2 linked regions of the Lonchura striata genome follow. The protein of the gene in region 1 purifies or fractionates together with the protein of each later gene. This does not show direct contact. Links are inferred from orthologs where the notes say so. Each region holds a gene or a part of one and is shown on either strand. Other genes may lie near its edges. The genes, in order: forkhead box protein M1 and MYBL2.

The links.
Region 2: the proteins of forkhead box protein M1 (region 1) and MYBL2 purify together in Homo sapiens (affinity purification with western blotting; 3 studies listed by BioGRID and IntAct, with this or other methods). This does not show direct contact. The link is inferred for Lonchura striata from reciprocal best matches to the Homo sapiens genes FOXM1 and MYBL2.

Annotation. Positions count from the first base shown.
Region 1 is NC_134604.1:31,065,529-31,074,064, forward strand, and holds the start of forkhead box protein M1, read left to right. Parts: upstream 1-4,999; 5' UTR 5,000-5,014; coding exon 5,015-5,137; intron 5,138-5,548; coding exon 5,549-5,677; intron 5,678-6,263; coding exon 6,264-6,308; intron 6,309-7,235; coding exon 7,236-7,302; intron 7,303-7,726; coding exon 7,727-7,908; intron 7,909-8,536. Other genes in the region: forkhead box protein M1-like, read left to right, coding at 2,355-2,893, 3,352-3,498, 3,650-3,789, 4,556-4,758. UniProt on the Homo sapiens protein: Transcription factor regulating the expression of cell cycle genes essential for DNA replication and mitosis. Plays a role in the control of cell proliferation. Also plays a role in DNA break repair, participating in the DNA damage checkpoint response.
Region 2 is NC_134619.1:11,069,848-11,078,071, forward strand, and holds the start of MYBL2 (myb-related protein B), read left to right. Parts: upstream 1-4,670; 5' UTR 4,671-4,777; intron 4,778-5,190; coding exon of another isoform or gene 5,191-5,940; intron 5,941-8,224. Other genes in the region: IFT52 (intraflagellar transport protein 52 homolog), read left to right, coding at 886-994, 1,485-1,630, 2,206-2,253; uncharacterized protein LOC144247204, read right to left, coding at 5,191-5,940. UniProt on the Homo sapiens protein: Transcription factor involved in the regulation of cell survival, proliferation, and differentiation. Transactivates the expression of the CLU gene.

The sequences.
Region 1 (8,536 bases):
AGCAGAAAATCAGTTTCCATTGAAACAAGTTGACAGACATTCTGCAGAGGATGCCTCCAGAAGTTACAAACCCCACCTGGCCACAGCCTCCTTTCAAGCCCTTGTAGAGAGCGCTAAGGTCCCCCCTGAGCCTCCTTTTCTGCAGGCTGAACACCCCCAGCTCCCTCAGCCACTCCTCGTGGGACTTGTGCTCCAGACCAGCTCTGCTGTCCTTCTCGGGTCCCACTCCCGCACCTCAGTGTCCTGCCTGAACCGGGCGCTGCACTCCGAGTGCCCCAGCAGTGCCGAGGAGAGAGGAACGGTCCCTGTCCCGGCCCTGCTGGCCGCGCTGTTGCTGACACAGGCCAGGTGCCACTGGCCCTCTTGGCCACCTGGGCACAACTATGTTCACCTACCTGACTTACCATAGATCAGCACAGACAAGAAAACGTGACAACATTTCTGAGAAACGCATGAGACTGACACAGCCTGACGGCTTACCTAAGCGGCACCGTGCCCGAGGGTCCTGCGGGCCCCTCTAGCCCGGCGCGGCCGTGACACACACGTTAAACGGCAAAACCCCGCAGCTCTTCACCAGGCGCCAGCGCGCCGCCGGCGGCGCGGGCGCACGGCGGGGCTCCCGGCCGCGGGCAGCACGGCTGAAGGAAGCTGGCGGCACTGCCGCGGCCGGGCGGGAGCGGCCGTCCCGGTACAAGCGCGGCACACCGCGGTGCCGGCGCGACGCGGGCCCGGTCCCGGTCCCGCCGCACATCCGCGCCCGCCGCCGCCGCCGCCCATTGGCCCGGGCCGGGCCCGCCCCCGCCGCCGCTCACTGGCGCAGGCCGGCACGTGACCGGGCCAGCGCCGGGCGCCAAATTCAAACCGGGCCGCTCCGAGAGCGCCGGGGCCGCCGCCCGCCCCGGCCGCGCCCCGGCCGCAGCTGGTGAGTCGCCGCCGGCGCCCCGGCTGGGGTCGGCGCCCCTCGGACGGCCGCGGTAAGGCCGCCGCGCGGCCGGGACAGGGCAGCGCCCGGGCCCGGCCCGGGGCGGAAGGCCCGGGGAGCAGCGAACCCGCCGGCCAGGGCGGCAGCGCGGGGCTGGGGTGGGTGACAGAGGAGCTGGGAGCGCCCTGGCCGTGCCCTGCCTGCCCCCGCGGGGCCGCGCCTGCACAGCCCTGCTCCCGGGCCTGGACGGGGCAGCAGATCCAGGCCTTGGGAAGGGACGCGCTCCCGTTCCTGCTCGCAGGAACGCTGCCTGTCGGAGGCTGGCTCAGGGTTCTGCTTCTGGCGCTGTCTCTCCTTAAGGGGGAGGAGCAGATCTCCAAGGGCCATGCTTGTGCCGGGTGCCAGAACCCGCGTGGAATGATCGCTGGGCTGTCTGCTCACTGTGCATAGGGCGTTAGCTCAGCTTGTTATCCGCTGGACTCTGCTTTCTATCAATGTAGGGGATTCTTACTGAGAATTTTCTCGTTTACTAGCTGACCCCGTCAAATCTAGTAATGCAAAAGGCCTCTCTTTTTTGGTATCTGTTTCTATTCTGCTTGCCATCTCTAATGACAAACAATAACTACAATTTGCATATTGTTCTGCTTTAGTTTTCAGAAAGGCACAGGTTCCACCAAATTCCTGATGGCATTATTAGCAATATTCTCATAGCATCTTACCCTGGAAGCAGTATCTCTGAATTTCATTTCCTCTGCTTCCAGCTTTATAGTCTAAACTACCTATTGTCCAAAAGTTTGACATCTAAATTGTATGCTACCCAATGATGAATTTATGTGATTCTTAACAAATACAAAAGGAATTAGAAGCACATTTACTTGGTGTCTAGCTTAAAGCACCTTACTTCTGCTGCATTTATTATGTGCTTTTGTAGTGTTCAGGGTAATCTCTGCTTCCCAGATCTTAAACCATCTGTAAATTCCCTTTTCACACAGGTTATATAATCTGCTGCTTAGAGCAATCAGCTATAAGAATCAGCACTGCTGTTTCTATATTCCGCCTCCCCTGCAGCTTGCTGGCTGACATGGTCAAATTGCCCTACAGCTAAGTCTTTTTGTAAAGCACATACACACTTTGCTCATTATTATGTACTTTATGATGCACATTATCTACTCTGCAACTCTCTCATCCTGCTTACACAAAGTGTGGATTAGGGAGGTACAGTATGATTTTTCAGTAGCCTTGTCTGCCTTATTAAATGCTTCTAATTTTAATTTTCCTTTTGCATTTCTAGCTTTGTAGCAACTGCAACTGCTGAGAATGTGTGCTCTGTGGGAGGTCTTGAGATGATTTGCTGCACCCTTTATGTTGTACCTTTTGTTTTGCAGGATTTGTTTCTCTCCCTTTCAATGGAGAGTGACAGTATAGATCAATAATGAGGACCAGCCCTCGCAGGCCCTTAATTCTCAAAAGACGAAAACTGACCCTCCCACAGAATGGTGAATCCAGTACTTCAGCAAGAGATGAGAAGAGAGGTCAGGATGAAAAGGCTCCTAAGCAGGAGCACAGGCAGGAAGACCAACACAACAGACAACCCAGAGACAAAAGGGACGGTGGCCTGCAGAAATTCCCAGCAGGAATAAAGATAATTGACCATCCTACAATGCCCAACACACAGGTGGTGGCCATCCCTACAAATGCTGATATCCAGAGCATTATAGAGGCATTGACAGCAAAAGGAAAAGAATGTGGCAACAATGGACCAAATAAGTTCATTCTCATTAGCAGTGGGGGCACATCCCGTTCAGCAGGTCCAGCACCATCGCAGCATCTCCCATCAGAGAAGAAAGCCAGTGCAGGCAACAGGGCTGCAGTTATTCAAGAAAGAGAGAAGAATGTTGCACAGACATCTGGTCTTGCAGGTAGTACAGAGCTCTGGCATTCAGGAGTTGGTCCTGTGGTTGGACAGGGACAGTATGTAGCCTTTACCTGTTTGTTTTTTTTTTGTCCTGACAGACAAAGAGATGTGAAATGGGCCAAGGAGTGCAGCACTTGCATCTTGGTTTGCAGTAATTATTAATATTTTGTTAATTACAAAATACCTATGGATTGGATTCTAATAATGTACCTAGCTTTGCATATGTAGTGAAATCTGAAGGATTATAGTGGACATATTTTTTGGTGGAAGACATCTGTGCTTCTGATTTAAGTTTTGTGCTAAATCTTTCTATTTCTTGAAGTACTTGATCAACATTGTCCTGTTTTGGTTGACAATAGCCTGGTTTGAGTGTTTATTTTTAGAGCCTGCAGCTCTTTTCAGAAATTGGGCAACTACAGGAATCAAAATCAGGAATTCAAGATGAATTCCTTCCACAATACTAGTGTTGCAATACCATCTTTTAGAAGTGTGACTGGTGCCTTCCTTTTGACAGCTGTGATGAAGGAGTAGCAGGGTTACTTGTGAGAAAGCAGAGTTATGGCGAGGGGAAGGCTGTGTCTGTAGCCCACCTGGGCTTCAGTAAAGCCTTTCACACTGTCTCCTACAGCATTTTTCTGGAAAAGCTGGCAGCCATGGCTTGGTCAGGTTCACTCTTGACTGGATTAAAACTGGCTGGATGGCTGGGCCCAGAGAGTGGTGCTGAACAGTGCTGCATCCAGCTGGTGACCAGTCACTGGTAGGGTTCCCCAGGGCTCAGAGTTGGGCCAGTCCTGCTTTTCTCTGTGTATCAGTGATCTGGATGAGGGGATCAAGAGCATCCTCAGCAAACTCACAGATGACATCAAGTTGGGTGGGAGTGTGGATCTGCTGGAGGGCAGGAGGGCTCTGGACTGGCTGGATCCATGGGTCAAGGCCAATTGCATGATGTTCAGTAAAAGCAGGTACCAGGCCCTGCAGTTGTGTTGCAAAAGCACCAGGCAGTGCTAGAAGCTGGGGGAAGAGTGTCTGGAAAACTGCCTGGCAGGAAAAGAGCCAGGACTACTGGTCAACAGCAGCCAGGAGCCAGTGTGTGCCCAGATGGCCAAGAAGACCAATGACATCCTAGCCTGTACCAGCAATACTGTGTTCAGCAGGACCAGGGGAGAGATTGTCCAGTACTCAGCACTGGTGAGGCTGCATCTTGAGTTCTTTTTTCAGTTTAGGGTCACTCATGACGGGAAAGACATTGAGGTTCTGGAGCATGTCCAGAGAAGGACAACATGGTGAAGGGTCTGGAGCACAGGTCTGATGAGGAAGAGCTGAGGGAGCTGAGGCTGTTCAGCCTGGAGGCTCAGGGGGACCTTGTCACTCTCTACAACTGCCTGAAAGGGGGTTGTAGAGCAGTGGGGGTTGCCTTCTTCTAGGCAACAAATGACAGGACAAAAGAGCATAGCCTCAAGCTGTGCCAAGGAAAGTTCAGATAGGACATAATGAAGAACCTCTTCCCTAAAAGGGTTGTCAAGCATTGGAACAGACTGTCCAGGGAGGTTTGGAGTCACCATCCCTAGAGGTATCCAAGAAACAACTGGATGCTGCAGTCAGTGCCATGGTCTCATTGATAAGAGGGTGTTTGGTCACAGGTTGGACTCAATGGTCTTGGAGGACTCTTTTAGCCTAATTTATTCTGTGATTATTATGTGGGCTTATTATCCCAACAGGCAGTGGAGAGACAATGAGTTCTGTGTTGGACAACAGTCTCACCAACATCCAGTGGCTGGGGAAGATGAGATCTGATGGGCTAAATCCCTCTTCTGTGAAGGAAGACACAGAGAAAGAGAATCAGATACCTCTGCAGGAAAGAGTCAAGGCAAGTAGGAGAATACAAGAGTGTGCTAAAACTTTTGATAAGGAGGTAATCTAGGTGGATCAGAATACTTGCAAGAATTAGGTATTGCTATCTCTAAGTAACCTGATTTTAACCTTTACTGATATGAATAGCAGAACCCAGAGGATCCAGGGATGTTCCATGGGCCTTCTTGTCAGCTTCGCGAACATTCATTCAGACTGAATCTTCTTTCTTTCAGACTGAAGAGGAAGCTGCTGCTGCTGCTATTCCTACTGCTGCTGAGTCCTCCTCATGTCAGGATTCGGTGTCAGAGCGACCTCCTTACTCCTACATGGCCATGATCCAATTTGCCATCAACAGCACGGAGAGGAAGCGCATGACCCTGAAGGACATCTATACCTGGATTGAGGATCATTTCCCTTATTTTAAACATGTAGCTAAGCCAGGTTGGAAGGTAACCAGCAGCCCTCAAGTTGCTGTGGGTGATGTTACATGCCTTCTGGATCAAAATGAAAAGTTATTCCCCAGCCTGCAAATCAAGATGGAAGCTCATTTAAACGTTCCACCCCAAATACACTCTCACTCCAGATGTTCACTGTACCACTTCTTGTATCCCTTGCCTCATCCTACTTAAACAAGATGATGGGATGTTTGAGCACTGGAGTGAGAACTGGGATCTCAAGAGTACATAGAATAAGAGACTGATGACAGGGTTGGCTGGGTACGATGTGAACATGAAAGTTTGGTGTTGTTTGCACTTTGGAATGTAATCCCTCTGCTAGGACAGCTATGTTTGAGGTGGGCCTTGCTGTGCTGATAACAAAACTGCTGGTTTTCAACCTCCCATTCACTCCTTTCTCCTCAGAACTCCATCCGGCACAACCTGTCCCTTCATGATATGTTTGTCCGTGAGACATCTGCCAATGGTAAAATCTCCTTCTGGACTATTCACCCTGATGCAAACCGTTGCCTAACATTGGACCAGGTATTTAAGGTGAGTTGCCTCATGCAAAGAAAATAGGACAGGCTATCCAGTTTCTAAATGCCACACTAGCCTGATGCACCTTATTTTAACTGTAAGATCAAACTGCGTTGATTCAGCCTCTTTGTAGAAGCTGGATTCAGTCATTTCACTTGACAAATAGACAAGCGCTGCATTTGAAAGAAAAGATGCTATGGCTGTGCTTTTGATCTGGAGCTTCTGTAAGATGTGTTTATTCTTCATGTGCTCTGCCAAATATAATAGGTTGTTCACCTTCTTTCCATGGGCCTGATATAAATTCCTAATAAGAAGATTTACACTGAGGCCAACCAGGTGTTCCTATGCTGTTTGATAAGTCAGTCATAGGATGGAATTGTGCTAGCCCAAACAGGTATTTTAGGAAGATTTTGTTCGGGAAATAGAGCTTGAGAGTCTGGTATAGGTGTGTTTAGAAAACTGTTGTGGTTTCTGTTGTGGGTGGGTGGACTTCTTTGTTTGCTCCAATTGTACAAGTTTTAAATGTCCCATTTGTCTCCCTCTTTGGCTGATGACTTAATCTTAAATTTTTTTCTTGCTCAATGCCTTCTGCCACCGGCAGCCGCTGGACTTGGGGTCACCAACATCGCCTGAGTACTCTGAATCAGTAAGAATTACCATCTGGCTCGGGGCATTGTCTTCTTCCAATGGCATCTTCCATTCTCTTCTTGCCACTCACTGAAGGAAAGGACAACAGGCTTGGGGAGGGGGATTGGTTCACTGCTGCATCTACTCATACAGCTCTGTGCTGTACCCTTTGTGGGGAGAGGGGTCTAGCCAAAGGTTGACAGTCTATCAAAATGGTAAATCTGGACAGCTTAGAGCAACTTGGAAGTCTACTGCTGAAGTAGGCTGCAATGGACACCGATAGGCTTCAGAGAACAAGCCCAAACAGATTTCTGGTAAAATCATCTCCATGGCAACAGTTCCAATGTATTCTGGAGCTCAGATCCAGAGAGAATAGGATCTCTCTGTGGGTTTTCATTTTGTAACCCGCTGAACTGTGTGTGACTCTTAGAAGGATGAGCCTGTTTGCTATTGCTGTTGCATTCAGCAGTTTTAACAGTGACTGATTTGCAAACATCCAGTCAAACACTTTTCTGTCACAGCTACAACCTTGGCCTTCTTTCCATCTGCTCCAAAATCTGATCCCATTGCTGCCTCTGCTATTCCATTGAACACCTATCTGTATCCAATAGACAATAAAGCCATCCTATTCATTGTTTCTCAGGCACACAGTGTGCCAAAACCAGCTCACTTCTGCAGTAGAGTCTGCAGCTGGAGCAGCTCTGTCATGTCATCTCTTTTCCTACACAGCTTTTGGTGGGCAGCTGGCTTTGGGATGGCTGCAAACCAGCAAGTGGCACAGACCTAGAGCCAGCCTGAATGTTGGGTGCTAACAGCTGCTCTCTTTGCATTAGTCCAGCACAGACCTCTGGTTTCACAATTCTCAGTGCGGCAGCAGAATAAATGCGGATTCTTTTCTTTTAATCTCTCTTTTTCTCCTTCTCCTCTTATCTCACAATGACTGCAGCAACAAAAGAGTAATCTTCCAGATCCTCTGAAGAACATGGGAAGCAAAACTGAACCCCAGAATTCACGTAAGTGTCCACATCACTCTAGGCCAAAGCAAATCAATCCAATAAACCTGGGGCATTCTCATAGATTTCTTTAGGAGTGGAGTGTGTTATCCCTGTTTGCCAGCTTTTATGCTTCTTACTGCCAGGTTTGAAATGGAAAGCAGTAGTGTTTTGTCTGAGACGATGTGATGGTGAGATCCTGGGCAATGGGCACTCAAATGGAATGAGAGCCCAAACCTGAGGGGTAGGATCTGCATGAAATGTTATTTTCTCGTTCATGAGGCTTCTGGCTTGGTATTTGTATCCTTAAAGTTAGCAGAGAAGGCAAGTGATCTGATAAAATGTTTCTTTTGGGGTGTCTAGAAGGACTTTCTCTAAGCTGCCTGGGTTTCAAGAGGTAGCAGTGGAGAACAGGCAAAAGTGAGTCCCTTCTTTTCCCTTCCAGGCCGAAAGATGAAGCCTTTGCTTCCTCGTGTCAACTCCTACCTGGTTCCAATCCAGTTCCCTTTGAGTCAGCCTCTTGTCTTGCAGCCTTCTATGAAGGTTCCCCTGTCCACGGCACAGGGAGCATCTTTTAACAGCACAGAGACTTTGCAGAGCAATAAGCGTGTGTGCATTGCCCCAAAGGTTGGTTTCTTTTTTTCCAAGGAGTTTTGAGGAGGTTAGTGTGGGTTTTTTCCTGTTTTTTTCTTCTTTATTTTTTATCTTTTTTTATAAGTGAGGTGAGGAGGGGGCTAGGTAGGGTGTGGGGATTTTTTTAAGGAGGGGAGTGTTCGCTTGGATTTTTTGTTGTTTGGTTTTTTTTATATCTCTTGCCCTCAATGAACCTTTTCTTCATATTGTTCCTTTATCTTTACTTAGGTGCTCTAAACTCTAAGCTCCTATAAAGGAACTAGTTAGTGATAATCCTTGCTATCCTTTACTGTCTCTAGGCTAACTACTACCTCCTAGTTTATTTGCTCTAAGGATGTTTCCATAATTCACTAGAGGAAGGGGCCTTATGGCTTGGTCAAGACAATTTTTCTTTACTGCTGGGATGTGAAGAAAGAAGAATGGGAGGAATGGCTTTGTTCTATCCTAAAACATCCATATTTTTGGTAGCTCTGTAGACAAACAACAATTAGGAACTTCTAAAAGGGTGTATATTTCATGTAGTCTCTTCCCAGAGTATTTCCATATCTGATGTTTGCTAATACTGTGAGGTTCACAGTTATTCTGGGCTCAAGAAAAACAGCTATTAAACAGATCTTTTTCT
Region 2 (8,224 bases), on another chromosome or scaffold:
AGAACTTCACACTGTAGTGTGTGGTACCAAAACAGAATCCTTGTGTGGTGAACCTTTGATTGAGTGGCTGCTCCCAGTCCTGTGAGGTGCTGGCTCAGCCTTCCCAATGAAAACAGGATGTGCTATTTCAGAAAGCTGTGGTGGTGAAGGTACTGCACTGCTTGTGCCAGGGAGGAGCCAGTCTGTCCTGCTCTGCCTCCATCTCCCAGATCCTCAGGGGAAGCAGAAAGCAGAACATTGGTCTTTTACATCAGAAGCTGATCAAACTTTAACCAGCAATGTTTGGGCAGACAGCAACAACACAAACTATGAGGGTGTCAAACTCATTTCAGAAGGCAAGAATCTTGGTATCTGAGTTTTGCCATCATTGTTCCATCCTTCTTTACCCTGGCCACTGAGAAAGCATTTCTGATATCCTTTAGAGCTTCAGGAGTGCAACTGAAAGTGGTGTCTCCTTCACTGCTTTTTAAAAACCCAAGTCCAGCTTGTGACATAAATGGTGCCTGCATGAAACAGAAAATACTCTGACCAAAATTGATGTCAGTATGTTTTCAGGGTGAGCTATTAGGGCCAATTTAGTTCCTCAGCTCTCAGCTATCACCTGGGTCTCATGGAGCAAAACTGAAACTGCAAATAAGAATGTCTAGTTGTTATGCTGGGTGATAATTCTGGCATACATGTGACTAAATTCTTTTGGAATGTTCAGTTATTTTTACAGCATAAAAATGGAATTTTCAAATGCTGCCCCTTGGTTCAGTGGCTTTGGAGTTGCTTTTGACTTTTTAAAAGGGCTTCTTCAAGTCCAATATAAGTTCAAAACTGTTGTCTTAGAGATCTGTAAAGAAAAATGTGTGGCAGTCAACCATGCTGCGTTTTCTTTCCAAGGTCTTTCCACCTGCTTTCAAAGAATTGCCTCCTCCTGCTCTGGAACTGTTTGACTTGGATGAAACTTTTTCCTCAGAGAAAGCACGTCTTGCAGAGATTACAAACAAATGTAAGTGGAGAAGATTGTTTGCACGTTTAAAATAAAAGTCCAGTTTTTTTAGAGGAAATTTCTAATATTGAATGTTAAAGCATGCACCTCATTTGGGAAATCTACTGCTCTTATCCTGATCTAAGAAATTGAAAGGCTTTGGAAATTAATAGCATGACTTTATGTACCATGACATTATGTTTTGTCTGTTGCATGACATTTTATCGTGTTTCTTCCCGTTTCCTATATTGTGCATTGCTTTGTGCACTCTTGCTGATAAATTTCACATCTTGTTTATGCTTTTAAGTTAAAATGTTAAGATTATTATAAACACCTAAAGAAGATGAGCAGGTACTGGCTGCAGGAATACGTTATGGCTAGTCCACTGAGCTTAGTGATGGGACTGAGCCTCCCAGGATGCCAGCAGCAAAAGGAGATTCAGAGCAGGTTTCTGGCCAGCTGCTCCAGATGTGTGAGACTCACCTGCCTTCTTCCCTGGGTGCTTGTTTAGGCACTGATGATGACCTGGAGTTCTACGTGCGGAAATGTGGTGATATCCTGGGAGTGACCAGTGAACTCCCAAAGGACAGGCAAGATGCCAAATATATCCTGGAGCACATCTTCTTCCAAGTGGTTGAGTTTAAGAAACTGAATCAGGTATTTTTAATAGCAATTACAAGTGAGTAGTTGGTAGTAGCAGCAGTAAGGGTGGTGTATCATTGTAGCAGTTACAGTTGTCACAGGCAAGAGGTGATGTGAGACATTAGCTGTGCTATAAATGAGACCAGTCAAGTGTGATCCAGAGTACTTATGACTCTTAATCTCCATAAAATGTGTACTGCTCAATTTATTAAGTCTCTCATTTATTTTAATTGGGGAATTAGTACATGCAAGTGTAGTTTGTAATTGCAGCTAAATCTGGTTCATTAGTGGTGCCTGAGTGAGAGCAGGGAGCCCTCAGGAGTGTTCACTGCTCTGGCCAGTGCTGCTGTGCAGAGGTGACCAGCATTGTTCTTCAGGAGCTGCACTGAAATGCAGCTGTGCTGAAAGAATTCTTCATAGCAAATTTAACGTTTCAAAGTGTGTTTGGAGCATATTGGCAGAGCAACAGTTTGTGCTAACAAGAATTGTCTGTTTCACATAATCTAGTTAAGCCAAAAATCTTACAGTTCTACCCTGTTGTTAAAACTCTTTTTTCTTCCTTTTTTTTCCTTCCTCTTCCCTTACTTAAGGAACACGATACTGACCAAAGTGAAGCTGGATTCCAGAACAGTACCTGAGAGCTGGCTTTCCCCAGTTTGAGATAGACCTTTTAGGGAAAGTATATTTTTCCATTTTTAAAGTCTCTCTTCTCAGTGTATTGATTGGGACTGTCTCAGTAGTTCACTGGATGCTTGGATCATTTATGTGTAGTAGTTCAGATAATTAATGCCTTCTGGGGAACTGCTTGTATTTCACAAGCACTTTCCAAAGAATTTCTTATTTTTCTACTTCTTTATTGAAACTGTAATTTTTTAATATATTAAAAAAATAATATACCAAGAAAATGTGTTTTGGGTCCTTTCTGGCTCCAGCATTTATTTTCTTGTAGTTAAGTCTGCCTTACCTGTTGGTTCTCCTGTTGTACATGAAATCCTTAATTGCACTGTGAGAAGGGTTGTTATTTTGGTTTGTTAACTTAGGACAAAAAAATAGAGCCATAATTTTAGCAGGAGCTGCTGAAAATACATGTATCACCCTGAGGCAGCCTCATTTTGTCTCTCTGCCAAAGAGAACTAAGGAGAGGTGAGTTTGTTACTGTAGAAAGAAAACATTTCTTCCAAGGGAGGGGCAGATTTGAAATTAAGCAATAATGACATTGTTGCAGATTGCTGCCTCATATCAGACTGGAATTACAGAATTTTAAAAAGAGAGGACAGCACATGGATGCAAACCTTAAGATTGAGTGGATCATTATTAAGACACTGATACTGCACAGAAATTAATGGATATTTTTACTTCCATTTATTTGATATCTAGTCCACTCCCTGAGGTAGTGAGTTCAGTAATACGCAGGAGTGGAAATCCAGGTTAAATTAATTTTCCGTGAAATGTTGAAGCTCAATGCACAGCAAAAATAGAGCCAAGGAGATCAGTGGTGAGAAGAAAAGATTTTTGTCAACATCATCACCACCACACCTCTATTGCAAGGACTTGTTTTTATGTTAATGTGGTGAAATTGCATTATAAAGCCTTTTTTGGCTGTCAGACTGACACTCAGATTGTTAAATTCTTCCCCCACTCAGGACTTCAATGACTTCTGTGTTTTACCTTGCTCTGCCATGGTTTTTAAAATCAGAACTGCTTTTTGCAAAAAAACCTGTTCATCTTTTTATCCCTCCAAAATACCTTTTTGTTTTACATTTCATGCTTCACATAGCATTTTGGCACAGGTTTTTCTAAAGGAGGTGCCCCAAAGCCCCTGCCAAGTTCCTGCCCAGTTGAGATGTGCTAATGTTAGCAGAAGTGGTTGTATCTCTTTCTCCACTGCAGCCGTTCCCTTTCACAGCAGCATGTTGGAAATTTTTCATTTCTTCTTCTGTTTTCCTTTAAGGCCGTGGTTGTGTTTGTCACCCAGAGCACTTTGTACATTCCAGCTCCAGATTTACACAACAACCTTAATCTCTTCTCCTGTGCAGTAGCAATAGCAATCAGTCAGCCAGCACAGGGTGCAGCTGAACCAACCCCCTGAGTGCTCCTGTTGCTAATTATAGCTCCAGTTTGTACTCTTCTGGGGTGTTTATACTTCAAACTGTAAATAACTTTCTGTTTCCAAGTTGTTTTGTCACCTGTTTCTGATGTAACATGGTTTAAAAAAAGCCATGTGAGCAGCCCGGGGATACAAGCAGCTCCCTGTTTTCTGGGTGTCTCTCAGGCCTCTGACAGCTGAAGAACACATTTTTTTACTGAATGGATGTTTTTCTTACTAGTGTGGAATACATGTAGCTCACATCTCTCTTTCAAAGCTGTCCCTTTGGCCCTCTGGAAGTATTTAAACTGACTTTGTTACTAGAAACACTTTAGTCATGAGAGTATGATGCATATAAATTTTATGGCTGACTGACAGAATTTCCAAGGAGTAGAAGTAGGTGAGTGCTTTCAAGAGGTGAGGTGAGGCCAGGGGGAACACGTTGGGCAGGTAGCTAGTGAGGGAGTTAATATATAAATCAAATTTCTGCTGTGATTTTCAAAAGTTGGTTTCAAGCAGCTCTTGCTGCTTTCCCTTTTTTTCTCTGTCCTCTCATGCAACATGACTCATTATCCCCTAATATGCCCCTAAAAGAAGAGGGGAACAGTACACTGGTTATAGAGCAAATGTCCTGAAAAGCTGTTTTAACAAGTTCTTCCTCCCTTTCTTTGCTGTAAGCAGAGACAGGAGAGGAAAATCAGGATTGCATATGGGTGGGGTGCGATCTAGCAGGAGAGCGTGAAAAATCTAATGGGGTGGGTGCGATGGCCTAGGCTCCTTTCCTTGCCTCGGAGCAGGGTTTGGATGTGACAGAGGAAATGGTCCCTGCGCGGTGGCGGCTTGCCGCGGCCAGGACGAGCAGCGGCACCCCGCATGAGGCAGGCGGGCTGTGCCCGGGGCGCTCCCCGCTGCCGGGCTGTGCTTTCCCGGCGCGCCAGGAGAGGGATCCGCGGCCCCGGGCGCGCCTCCGCCCGCGCTCCCGGCGGGCAGCGCCGGCCCCGCAGCCATGGCCCCGCGGCTGCGGCCGCGTCCCGCTGCCCCTTCTCCGCCGGGACCCGCCCCGACCCCTCGGCCAGGTAACGGGGGCGGGCGGGCGGGGGTCCGGGCACCCCCAGCTCGGAGGGGGCTGCACGGAGGCCGGCTCTGGGCGTTCAGGGGGCTCAGCTTCAGGCCGGGAGGGCAGCGAGAGTCAGGGACCACCAGCAGAGAGACATTTATATCTTTATTGTGCTAATACAAAAGAGCGATCGGGGAGGAGGAGGAGCCAGCAATGCTGCGGCTCTCGGAGGTGCCATCACCAGCTCAAACATCCCCCACCACCAGTGCCGACTCGGCCACCCCAGGTGAGCAGATTTAGCTCGTCACCAGCTGCTGCCATCACCACTCAAGCCGCTGGCTCCATCTTCTGTGCTGCAGCGTGGATCCCTGCTCCTCGCAGGAGGGGAGGGGGCAGGCACCAGCAGCTCCAGCTGGAGGCAGGGCAGCAGCATCACAGAGCCTGCTGCAGAAACACAGGGACAGCGTCAGGGTCACTCAGCTGGGTCTCCTGGGTGGCAGACCTGTGGATCAGTGTGGGGTGCTTCTTGAAGGCACTGGGCCAAGCCAGAGGAATCACCACAGGGGTCTCCAGGGATGATGTGTCTGGTTTGGAGCATCCCAGTAAACGTAACTCCTCTGTGCTGACATCGAGGGATGTACTGGTATCCATAAAGGATTTTATTGCCGAGATGTCCCACCTGGGTGCTGGCACTTTCCCAAGGGCTGAGATGTCACCAGCCAGCTCAGAGCTCTTGAAGAGAAGGCTCTCCAGGGGTTTGAAGTGCTTGTCTTTATTGCAAGGTGTCGAAGTATTCTGTGATCCCACATTCATCAGGCAGCTATCTCTGCTAGGGTGCTCACAGGGCAAACCAGACAGCTCACAGGTGGCCTGGCCATGGTGGGCCTTGCAGAAGCAGACAAGACTGAGGTCAGAGATGCCCTGGGTCAAGCTGTGCAGCTCCGGCTTCACACAGCTGGTCAGAGACTCTGCCTGCTTGACAACACACAGGGAACTGCCACTTGCTGTGCTGTCCAAGTCCATGGGAAGCTCCCAGGTTTCATGTTTGGAAGCACTGCTAGAGTCCTTGTAATAGCTCACAACAGGAGAATAGCTCTGGCTGGAGGAGCTGGCCAAGAACCCGTTTTCCAGGATTTCCTTTCTGGTCACAATGCTGGTGCTGTGCTTCTGGGTGGACAGCATGGTGCAGAATCCAGCAGCTCTCTGGCTTAGAGAGATAAGGATGAGCCTGTCAGGATAAACCTGTTACTATTCACTAATGGTTTACAGACTTACAGTAGCAGGACCACTCTTGGCAAAATCCCATCTCACTGTTGCAGGACCTTGAGCAGGTTTCAGGACATGCAGGGGCATCCAGCCTGGCTCTCTCTTTTAGAGTAAAACAACTCCACTACAGCCTGTTAGTAGCTCAGAGGTCATAGCAGAATCTCCCTGAAGCTGTATTTATTTGACCTCAGCCTGTATTATCACTAGTCTTAACTTTGTACAGGGGATAGAAGCATTTTAGCCTCACTCCTGCAGTCAGAGGACCACTCACCCCAGCTAGAATTGAATCCCTCTGAGGAGGCACCAAAACCAGGCTCTGGCTAGGATGGGAAAAGTTGAAGGGCAGGTCTCATCTTACTTTTAGTGCTGTACACAATAACTCTCACCTCCAGCTCAGCCAGGAGCTGACTTCCAGATCTTTCCTGAGAGACTAGGGCAGGCCAGGGAAGGGGATAGCTATATTCCCAACCCAGCTTTACTCTGAATACATGCTAAACAGTCATAAATAGCGTCTGAATTTACTGCAAAGGGACTGTATGGTCAATCTAGAAGGAAAGTATTATTTAAGAGACTAAAACCATCTTATCTTAGCATATAAGAAATGAAAGAATAAGAAAACAATAAATAGTACCTTCAGCTCCTGTGAAGACCCTTTGAGGTTCCCAAGCCTTTTCTGCCAGTGTTACTTAGAGCAGTTTTATAGTTCTGGTAATCAATTAACAGGCTGATTTCCTAATTAAGCTAGTTTGGGAGAGGGAGGGGCTTCTGTTTGCCTCTTTTTAAGCACAGGGGTAGTGAAGGTGGGCCATGGCTGACTGATGGAGGTACTCTGAGATCTGTGAGGGATGGGTTATATTTGTCCTGTCAAAGAACCTTAATAAGGCTTTACTTTCTTTTAAGTGTTGCCTTGTGTTTTGTGAGCTGTTGATTAGGAATATCCACAAGTACAGACTTTTCATTGATGAAATAGACAGTACGTGTTGGAATATTTGAGTAATGCTCTCAGGCACAGGGTTGAACTGTTGTAGCTGTCCTGGACAGGGCCATAAGTTGGACTTTGATGATCTTTGGGGGTCCCTTCCAGCCTGGAATATTCTGTGATTCTTTAAGGTGTGATGTTCCTGCCCTGTGCCTGAGGCTGCTACATTTGGGAGGCTCAGGTTAGTGTGAGAGGGCCTGAGGGTAGAAATGGGGGTCCAAGGTTGGGGGGTGTGAATGGAGGGTATCCTGGGCTGGTGTGGGGGGGAAGGGGTCCCAGTGGTTTCAGGTGGATGAAGGGGTCCCGGGAGTCCTGAGTCCATGGGGACGTGGAGGTGCTGAGGATAGAAATGAGTAAACATGGGTCAGTGTAGGGCAGGGTGAGGGAGAGTCCTGGGTCAGTGTGGGGGATCCCCATGCTTTGGGGTTGGTACAGGGGTGGATGCAGAGGGATCTTGGGGTCGGTGCTGGGCCGGATGGGGAGGGTCGTGGGGGGCCCAGGTCGGTGTGTGGGTGGATGAGGAGGTTCCTGGTGGGAGCTTGCATCAATGCGGGGCTGGATGCGGTGGGACTTGGATCAGTGCAGGGTCGGTGCAGAGGTGGATGTGCGGGGTCCTGGATCGGGTGCTGTGTTAGATGTGGGGAGTCTCGGCAGTCCCAGTTCGGTGCAGAGGTCCTGGGGCTGGATGCGGGGATCCCGCAGGATGTGCCGAGGTATACAGGAGTCTGGATGCAGGTGTCCCGGGTCAGTGTCCCCGATCGGTGTGGGGATGGGTTGGATGTCCCGGCTCCGTGTAGGGGTGGGTGCGATGTGTCAGCTCGGTGTGAGGGTGGAAGCGGTGTCTGAGCTCGGTGTATACAGTGTCTCAGGTCGGTGTGAGGGTGAATGCGGTGTCTGAGCTCGGTGTGAGGATGTCCCAGCTCGGTGTATGCAGTGTCTCAGGTAGGTGTGAGGGTGAATGCGGTGTGCCCCGGATCGGTGTGAGGATGGATGTGGTGTCTCAGCTCGGTGTGAGGATGCCTCAGGTCGGTGTGAGGATGGATGCGGTGTCTGAGCTCGGTGTGAGGATGTCCCAGCTCGGTGCATACAGTGTCTGAGCTCTGTGTGAGGATGGATGCGTTTTGTCCCAGCTCGGTGTATGCAGTGTCTCAGGTAGGTGTGAAGGTGGATGCGGCGCCTCAGCTCGGTGTGAGGATGTCTCAGCTCTGTGTATACAGTGTC